Linked DNA regions of Caenorhabditis elegans. The protein of the gene in region 1 interacts with the protein of each later gene in a pairwise test. Each region holds a gene or a part of one and is shown on either strand. Other genes may lie near its edges. The genes, in order: C40A11.7 and pas-2.

Region 1 (3,930 bases):
TTCTTCCTATCAGTTACATACAATAATTTAAAGCGCTTTTCGACTGCCGCAAAATATTGATTAAAATTCGAGAAAAATGAATGTTTGTGATGAATCAAGTTGTGAGAATAATCGGATAAAAATTTGAAATCACTGTGAACCTAACGTTTCACAAAATGAACACTTGTTTTCATTTGAATTTGGTGAAAAAACTTACGTAACTTCAGAAACTAATCAGCTACGCAAACTTTGAATAAATTTTCTGAAAGTAAAACTTAAGATCATGTTTTAAGTTTTTTCATAAGAAAAAAAAAATACTTTTTCGTTGAGTTGGAACAGTTTGAATATGCAAAACTACTGTTTTCAACTGAAAAACGCAAAATTTACTTCAATACTTTTAAATTCTCAGTGAGATTATGATATTCGGTCGTTTAAAAAAAAACAACAAACCAGTATAAAATGGCGACTGCGGTGATTTTCAAGACATTTCTAATCTCCGTATATGTTCCCATCAGAATGTACAGCGAATGGGCAAATGTGAGTTGTTGTTTACCGGTAACCTTATAATCTGAAGCCGAGGAAAATTCAAGGAAAATTTAAAATTTATTTTCGGAAAGAGCATAGTCGAAAACCTATTCCGGTGAAATTTCAGACAAGTTGTGCATATAGTTTTCGATAAAACTTCAATTTAATCAAGATTTTACACTTTCTGCTTTTTAAAAATAATCTGGCACGGTTTGAGCACATTTTTGAATGGTGCGGTGCGGACGCGTTGCGGTCGCGTTAAGGTGCGGTTGCGTTGCGGTTGCGTTGCGGTTGCGTTGCGGTTGCGTTGCGGTCGGATTTTACAACTAACTTTAGCATTGAGATTCAAACTTTAAAAACTCGATTTTTGAGTTTTCCGTCAATTTTTCTGAAATTTGAAACCCGTAACGACTATTTTCAAAGAACTTTGAAATAATTTAGTGATGCGGCGCGGTCGCGTCGCGGTCAGACTTTTCAATTAACGTTAGCATTGAGATTCAAACTCTAAAAACTTGATTTTTGAGTTGTCCGTTATTTTTCTGAAACTTGAATCTCATGTTGATTATTTTCGGTAACTTTTGAAATTTTTAGTGGTGCGGTGCGGTCGCGTCGCGGTCAGCCAAATTTTAGTATTGAATTTATTTGATCTTTTTCTGGGTTTTCAAATAATCTAGCACGTTATTGTAGTTAATCTAAATAATTCAGAATGTTTTGACTAAAAACAAATTTCTGACAATGTTCTTAAAAAAAATGTGTTCTAATTTTCTCGTGGTGCTGTTTGGTCTACAAAAATGCGGGAAAATTTTCCCCAAAAAGTGTGACGTCAGCACGTTCTTAACCATGCGAAACCACTTGAAAAATCTGCGTCTAAATTCCCGCATTTCTGGTAGATCATAACGAAATGGGACATTCTGACACCACGTGATTTTATGGAATTTTGTGAAATGAGTTATTCATCAACTGAGAATTTTGAAAATTTTGAATAAAATTATAATATTTTCAGTTGAAAACTATAGTTTTACAAATTCAAACTATAATATCTCAGAGCCAAATTTGCAATTTTTTTTTGAAAAATTACCAAAAGTATGCCCAAATGTTTCACTTTCAGAAAGTGTATTCAAAATTTCTGTAGCTTATCGGATACTTAAATTACGTCAATTTCAAAATTTTCAGTTACTCGTCTGCGTCGTAATCGTTGCTATCGAGTATTACCTACATATAATAATGTTGGATCAATTCAATGAGCCATTCACGCCCACGCACTACACTCTACTGAAAAGAGCCAAGGCAACAACTGCTCAGAAGCTATTCATAATTATTTTCATGGCCTTAACCGAGGCCTATTACATAGGCCGTTGCTTCATCAGCCTGGTCCCCTGGGCAGATCAGGAGGAAGCCTATGAGATTCGCGATGTAACCCGATTTATCCTTCCGATCATCAATATCTTATCGATTCCCTTGATCTACGTGGCTTGCTTGGCCTATTACTCTGAAGAGGTTGCGTTTAGCGAGATGGTGCCCGACAATATGGTGCTGAGGAGAGGAGTGTGTAGTTGGGAGAGGAAATCTCGAAGATGGATATATGAGGAGACGATTTTTAGTTTTTAGTATGTGGTTTAAAATTCATAGGTTTTTTTTTAATATTTCGTTGATTGTGAGCTATATCTACATATTTCCTTGTAACGGAATAAATAATTAAATAATTTTTCACACAATTTTGGGAAAACTGAGGTCACCTTTCCCGAGGTGCTCAGAGGAATGCGATGAGCAGGTCGTCAAAAAAATCGATAAAAAGCAACAGAAGGAATCTTCTGTAACACAAGGTATTCATTCTTTGTGACTACTCAATATGTGCTCTTCTGAGACAATTGTCAAGTTGAATGTCGGCGGATCTGTATTCGAGACGTGGAAATCGACACTGACCAAGCAGGATGGATTTTTCAAAACATTAGTCGAGACGAATATTCCGGTTAGTTTGTTTCTTTTTTCGCCAACTAGGAAATCATGTCCAAAAATCAAGTCTAAGTCCAGTCCAGGCCGGTTTGTAAGCCTATATATTCTTAGTGAAATCATTTGTGGCCCGTTCTCCAGATATAACAAAAAAGTCAAATTTTTCAAATTCAGGTTAAAAAGGACACTTCCGATTGTTATTTCATTGATCGCTCTCCAAAGTACTTTGAAACTGTGCTAAACTACATGAGATCCGGTGTTACAGTACTTCCAGACTCTGAAAAAGAACTACAAGAACTGAAAAAAGAAGCCGAATTCTACTTGTTGGAGCAGTTGGTAGACTTGTGTGAACCTATAAATAATCAAATCCGAACTTATCGCTCGTCTCATGAATTGCTGCAAATCATCGCCAGCACCAAGAAGGTAGGTGTTATTTATTTTCCCATATGTATATATATATATGTATATATTTCAGTTTCAGTTATATATATATATATATATATATATATATATATATATATATATATATATATATATATATATATATATATATATAAATATATGCTATTTTAATATCATTTTGATATCATTTTCAGCCAGTAGTTGTGATTAACTACATAACCCATAATAACGATATCATATACATCCCAGAAGGATTTCGATTCGATGAGTTTGTTAAGAAAAACAGTTCAGTGGTAGAAATCTATTTTCGTGAGTTTTTTGGATTTTTTTCGTTTTCGGAAAATTTTAAAAAAATCATTAAAATTCCGAAAATTGTAAGTTTTGAGGATACTACACCGGCCTGTAAATGTGTCTCTTTGGCGAAAACTAGCATAACTTTAGAACCTGATTAGCTACAAAAATGTCAAATATATTTTCTGAAAGTTAAATTTACAGAGATATTTTTGGTAATTTTTTTTAAAAAGTGCCATATGTTTTCTTAGAGATATAACAGTTTGCATAAATAAAACTACTGTTTTCAACTGAAAAACGCAAAGTTTACTTCAATTTTTAGAAATTCACAGTGACAACCGTAATTTTTATTTTTGATTTTAATATAGAAAATGACACAATTGACTTATTTTTTAAAATTTTATAAAAATTAGATTAAAAAATTTTTGGAAAAAAATTGACCTAAAAATGTTTTTTCATCGCAATTTGTTGAAACATGTCTGATTAATTTATTTAGCGTATTTGTAACAAATTACTTAAAATTATTTTGCAGAACCAATGGATAATCGAGAACCTCTGCCAAAAGATTTAAGGAGACATCGCGGAATGAAATATTACCCTGAACCAGTTTGGAGTTATCGCATCTACAACAGTACGCATTCAGGTTGCGTTGATTTAACAGCTATGGATGATCTACAGAAGAAAATCGATAGTATTTTGAACGGAGAATGAATACCCACATATTATTTAATATTTCAAATGCATTTATCAAATTTTTTACATTTGTTTTATAATGAAAATTCT
Region 2 (3,792 bases), on another chromosome or scaffold:
AGATATACAAGACCAACTGGTATCAATAAAAGAGTTAGAAGTTATGTTGTGGTATCTAAAGGAGAAGGTGAAAGAACTGAAAAGAACGAATTAGCTGCGAGAGAAGCAAAAGAAGAACAGAAAAGAGAAGAGAGAAGACAGTTGTTAAAGAAGAAACAAAGAGTAATTTTATTATTTTAAAATCTAGTAGTTTTTGATAATTACTGCGGAAGCAAGTCATATTTCTTATCTGATTCAAACTTTTACAACTTTCAGGAACACGAAGTGAAGGCAAAGGCACTGGCAATGATGAGTGCCAAACTCCACATTGAGGTCAAAAAACGAAGAATTCTCAGGCAGCAAACTGTTGATGCAAACTCGAAGATGTGAAATTCATATTCTAATATTAATTTTTTATTTAAAAATTAAAACAACATTTATAATAGTTATAAATTTTTCTTGATGAATATATCTGCATCACTAATACCCATCTCGTAATATTGTTTCAAAATAAACCTATTTGGTGGGAACAATGCTCGAGCTCCACGATACAAATTTCGTCTACTCGCCTAAAAAATTAAATTTCAATTGAATCTTATTAAATAATAGAAACCTTGAATATTTGTTTACCGAATTCAATGTTCCAGGTTGAAGGATCATCCGGACAAATATCGGCTTGACTGGAAAACGGAGAGCATGTTATCGTCAAAACGTCTGGAAATGTGGGCAAATTGTTGGTCATTCCACCATCGATGCATTCCTGAATTATTTTAATTTATTAGTCCATTGTATTATGCGAACACAAAACTCTGAGAATGTGTATTGCGCAAAATGTCTCGTGGCGAAAACTACAGTAATTCTTCAAATGACTACTTCAGCGTCTGTGTCGATTTTTAATGAGAATAACACAAAGAAAAAAAAATCAAAAATTGAGCCCGTAAATAAATCGACACAAAAACTACAGTAGTCATTTAAAGAATTATTGTAATTTTCGCCACGAGATATTTTTGCGCGTCAAATATATTGCGCAATACGTATTCACAGAATTTTGTGTTCCCGTAATAATATAAATGCACCTCTTGATTAATAATTGGTGGAACCCCTTTATATCCCATTGAATACATTGGAATGTAGCAACTGGCAAGAAGGCATGATATCAAATGATCACGACTGTCAAATTTGTTGATCATTATATTTTCCCATTTCTAGAAAACAATTTTTATGAGAGTTTCAAGCGTATTTGTTCTTACTTTCAATTTGGTTATGGAAATATGCAATCTTCCCTGAGCATTTGCAATATCAGTCGGAAGAAAGTCGTCTATGATCTGAAAGTTTCCTTTTTCTTCATCTGAAAAATTAGGGATGCCTACTGTAACTAGTTGTTCATTCAAGTAATATCCAGGAGTCATGGCACCAAATCTTTGAGCATGAACGTGATCTGCCATTGAATACAGTGTGTCGATTGCAGCATCAAGTCTGAGTAGATTTAGATTATTGCCTACTTTCTATTATTCTAGGAAATATGTATTTACTTTTCAGGAGCCAAAGCAAGAATTGCAGCAACTAAACTTCCTGCAGATGCACCAGCAAATCGATCAACTTTCTCTCCAATAGTCTGTTAGAATTTTTACATTTAGTTTTTGAACTCTTGAACTTAATTTATTTTTACTTTTTTTTCTTGCATCAGACGTTTTGCTGCTCCGAAATTGTAAGCTCCAAGAAATCCCGAACCACTAAACGACAATGCCAACTTTGAAACATCTGAAGATGAGGATTTCAAATAAAACAGTTGGTGAAAAATTAGAAATTCGTACCTTCTAGTTTGTTTAGTCGTTTCAGCAAAATAGTCGATATTTTCATAGTTATAGATTTTATATAATAAAAATTAAATCACAAGTGTCTCATGGTAAAGAAGATTTCCAATAAACATGCCACTGTGTTGAAGAAACTAAATAAAAACAAAAGTGACGAATTACAGCGTTGCCCGCATGGAGGAGTTGAGACGATGAATATGTTTTTAATTTATGTGAAAAAGATAAAAATCAATTAACGAAAAAATTCACATGCATTAAACATTTAGAGAAGTGTAAACATTTTAATTTTCACAATAAATGTTTGGTAATTAGATTCTCCGGGAATTTTGCGTCGATGAAGTGGTCATAAAGCGCGCTCTACCGCACTCAGTTCGAATGATGACAATTTCACCGGGTTTTCTTTTTCATTTGCTCCTCGCTTTAAAGCAAACGCTTTCTTGTTGTCAATTGGTGTTCGATTAAATTTCTCAGTTAAAATAAATTTTTCAGAAATCACTGAAAAATGGGAGATCACTATGGATTCTCACTCACCACCTTCAGGTAGTTTAAATTCAATCTCCAGAAAAGTCAATTTTATTTTTATAGCCCATCGGGAAAATTGATGCAAATCGAATATGCATTGAATGCTGTCAAGAATGGGCAACCATCGGTTGGACTGAGAGGTATTCAAGTTTTTGTCTTGTACTGTCGTTTTCAATGGGAAATTCATTTTCAGCTAAAGACGGAGTCGTTCTTGCGACCGAGAATGTCGGATCTGTTCTCACCGATGACCAGCCAAAGGTAGAACAAATCAGCAAGCATATTGGATGCGTCTACAGTGGAATGGGACCAGACTTCCGTATTTTGGTGAAGAAAGCTCGCAAGATTGCTATGGAATACGAAATGATGTACGGCGAGGAAATGCCAACCATTCAACTTGTCACTGACATCGCGGCCGTAATGCAGGAATATACTCAATCTGGGTGAGTTAGAACTTTTCTAAACGCACTCTATTCAGATTTTTCAGTGGTGTTCGTCCGTTTGGAGCATCGCTTCTTATCGCAGGTTGGGACAAAAATCCAGGACGGCCATTGCTCTTCCAATGTGATCCATCTGGAGCTTACTTCGCATGGAAAGCAACAGCACTCGGGAAAAACGACGTCAATGCGAAAACATTCCTCGAGAAGCGCTTCAGCGAGGCCCTCGAGCTCGATGATGGAATTCACACTGCTCTTCTGACACTGAGAGAATCGTTCGATGTTGGCATGAACGAGAACAACGTTGAGGTGGCTGTTTGTAACTCGACCGGATTCCATCGGCTCACCAAGCAACAAGTCCATGATCACCTTGGAACTCTTTAAATCGAGTGATTTCACAATTTTCTTTCTTTCTTTTCTCTAATTTATTCTATGTATTCTCCCATCTATCCGTACCCGGTAGTAATCTCTTTTTGCTACGGTGTTTTGTTGGAACAATGAATCCTTTTACCGTTTTACACCCGACTTTTGAGGTACTTTTATTAAGGTGTATAACCCTATTAGGTTGTTTATCTTGACTGAATTTTCTCAGACTTATGAACAAACTTGTTTTCAGCTATTAATCAAAATGTCTTCAAAACCAAGGTGAGCATTAAAATTTACAGGATAGTGAATTTTAAAAATTTTGAAATAAGAATTCGTTACATTCAAATTTCAGGCATGATTGGTTCCAGAGTGAAACTGATGTCACTTTAACTATCCTAAAACGCGGAGTGCCTCTCGATGATTGCTCTGTTTCTCTATCAGATAACAACACACTGACGGTCAAGCAATGTGATGAGATTCTCTTCTATGGACAATTATCTGGTCAAGTGAAAAAAGATGATCTTACTGTAAAATGCACTGCCGCCAAGGTTAGTTGGGTTGAAATATTATTGTAGATCCATTAGAAACTAGAAAACTAGATAAATGTCTAAACGTCAAGATTTTCTAGTGATCCTCCCAAGCATACCTTATTTATTAAATTATGGTTATTAACATTA

What was found.
Region 2: the proteins of C40A11.7 (region 1) and pas-2 interact in a two-hybrid assay, tested with the Caenorhabditis elegans proteins (2 studies listed by BioGRID).

What each region holds. Positions count from the first base shown.
Region 1 is NC_003280.10:2,148,734-2,152,663, reverse strand, and holds the start of C40A11.7 (BTB domain-containing protein), read left to right. Parts: upstream 1-2,112; intron 2,113-2,235; 5' UTR 2,236-2,353; coding exon 2,354-2,473; intron 2,474-2,628; coding exon 2,629-2,877; intron 2,878-3,050; coding exon 3,051-3,165; intron 3,166-3,679; coding exon 3,680-3,858; 3' UTR 3,859-3,930. Other genes in the region: C40A11.8 (G protein-coupled receptor), read left to right, coding at 1,729-2,112.
Region 2 is NC_003283.11:10,768,086-10,771,877, forward strand, and holds pas-2 (Proteasome subunit alpha type-2), read left to right. Parts: upstream 1-2,282; 5' UTR 2,283-2,295; coding exon 2,296-2,333; intron 2,334-2,378; coding exon 2,379-2,455; intron 2,456-2,508; coding exon 2,509-2,755; intron 2,756-2,799; coding exon 2,800-3,133; 3' UTR 3,134-3,266; downstream 3,267-3,792. Other genes in the region: ocr-1 (Ion transport domain-containing protein), read left to right, coding at 1-162, 256-369; D1054.1 (PNPLA domain-containing protein), read right to left, coding at 426-548, 593-739, 1,056-1,184, 1,230-1,304, 1,350-1,455, 1,512-1,594, 1,649-1,740, 1,794-1,839; D1054.3 (SGS domain-containing protein), read left to right, coding at 3,378-3,394, 3,468-3,663. UniProt on the Caenorhabditis elegans protein: The proteasome is a multicatalytic proteinase complex which is characterized by its ability to cleave peptides with Arg, Phe, Tyr, Leu, and Glu adjacent to the leaving group at neutral or slightly basic pH.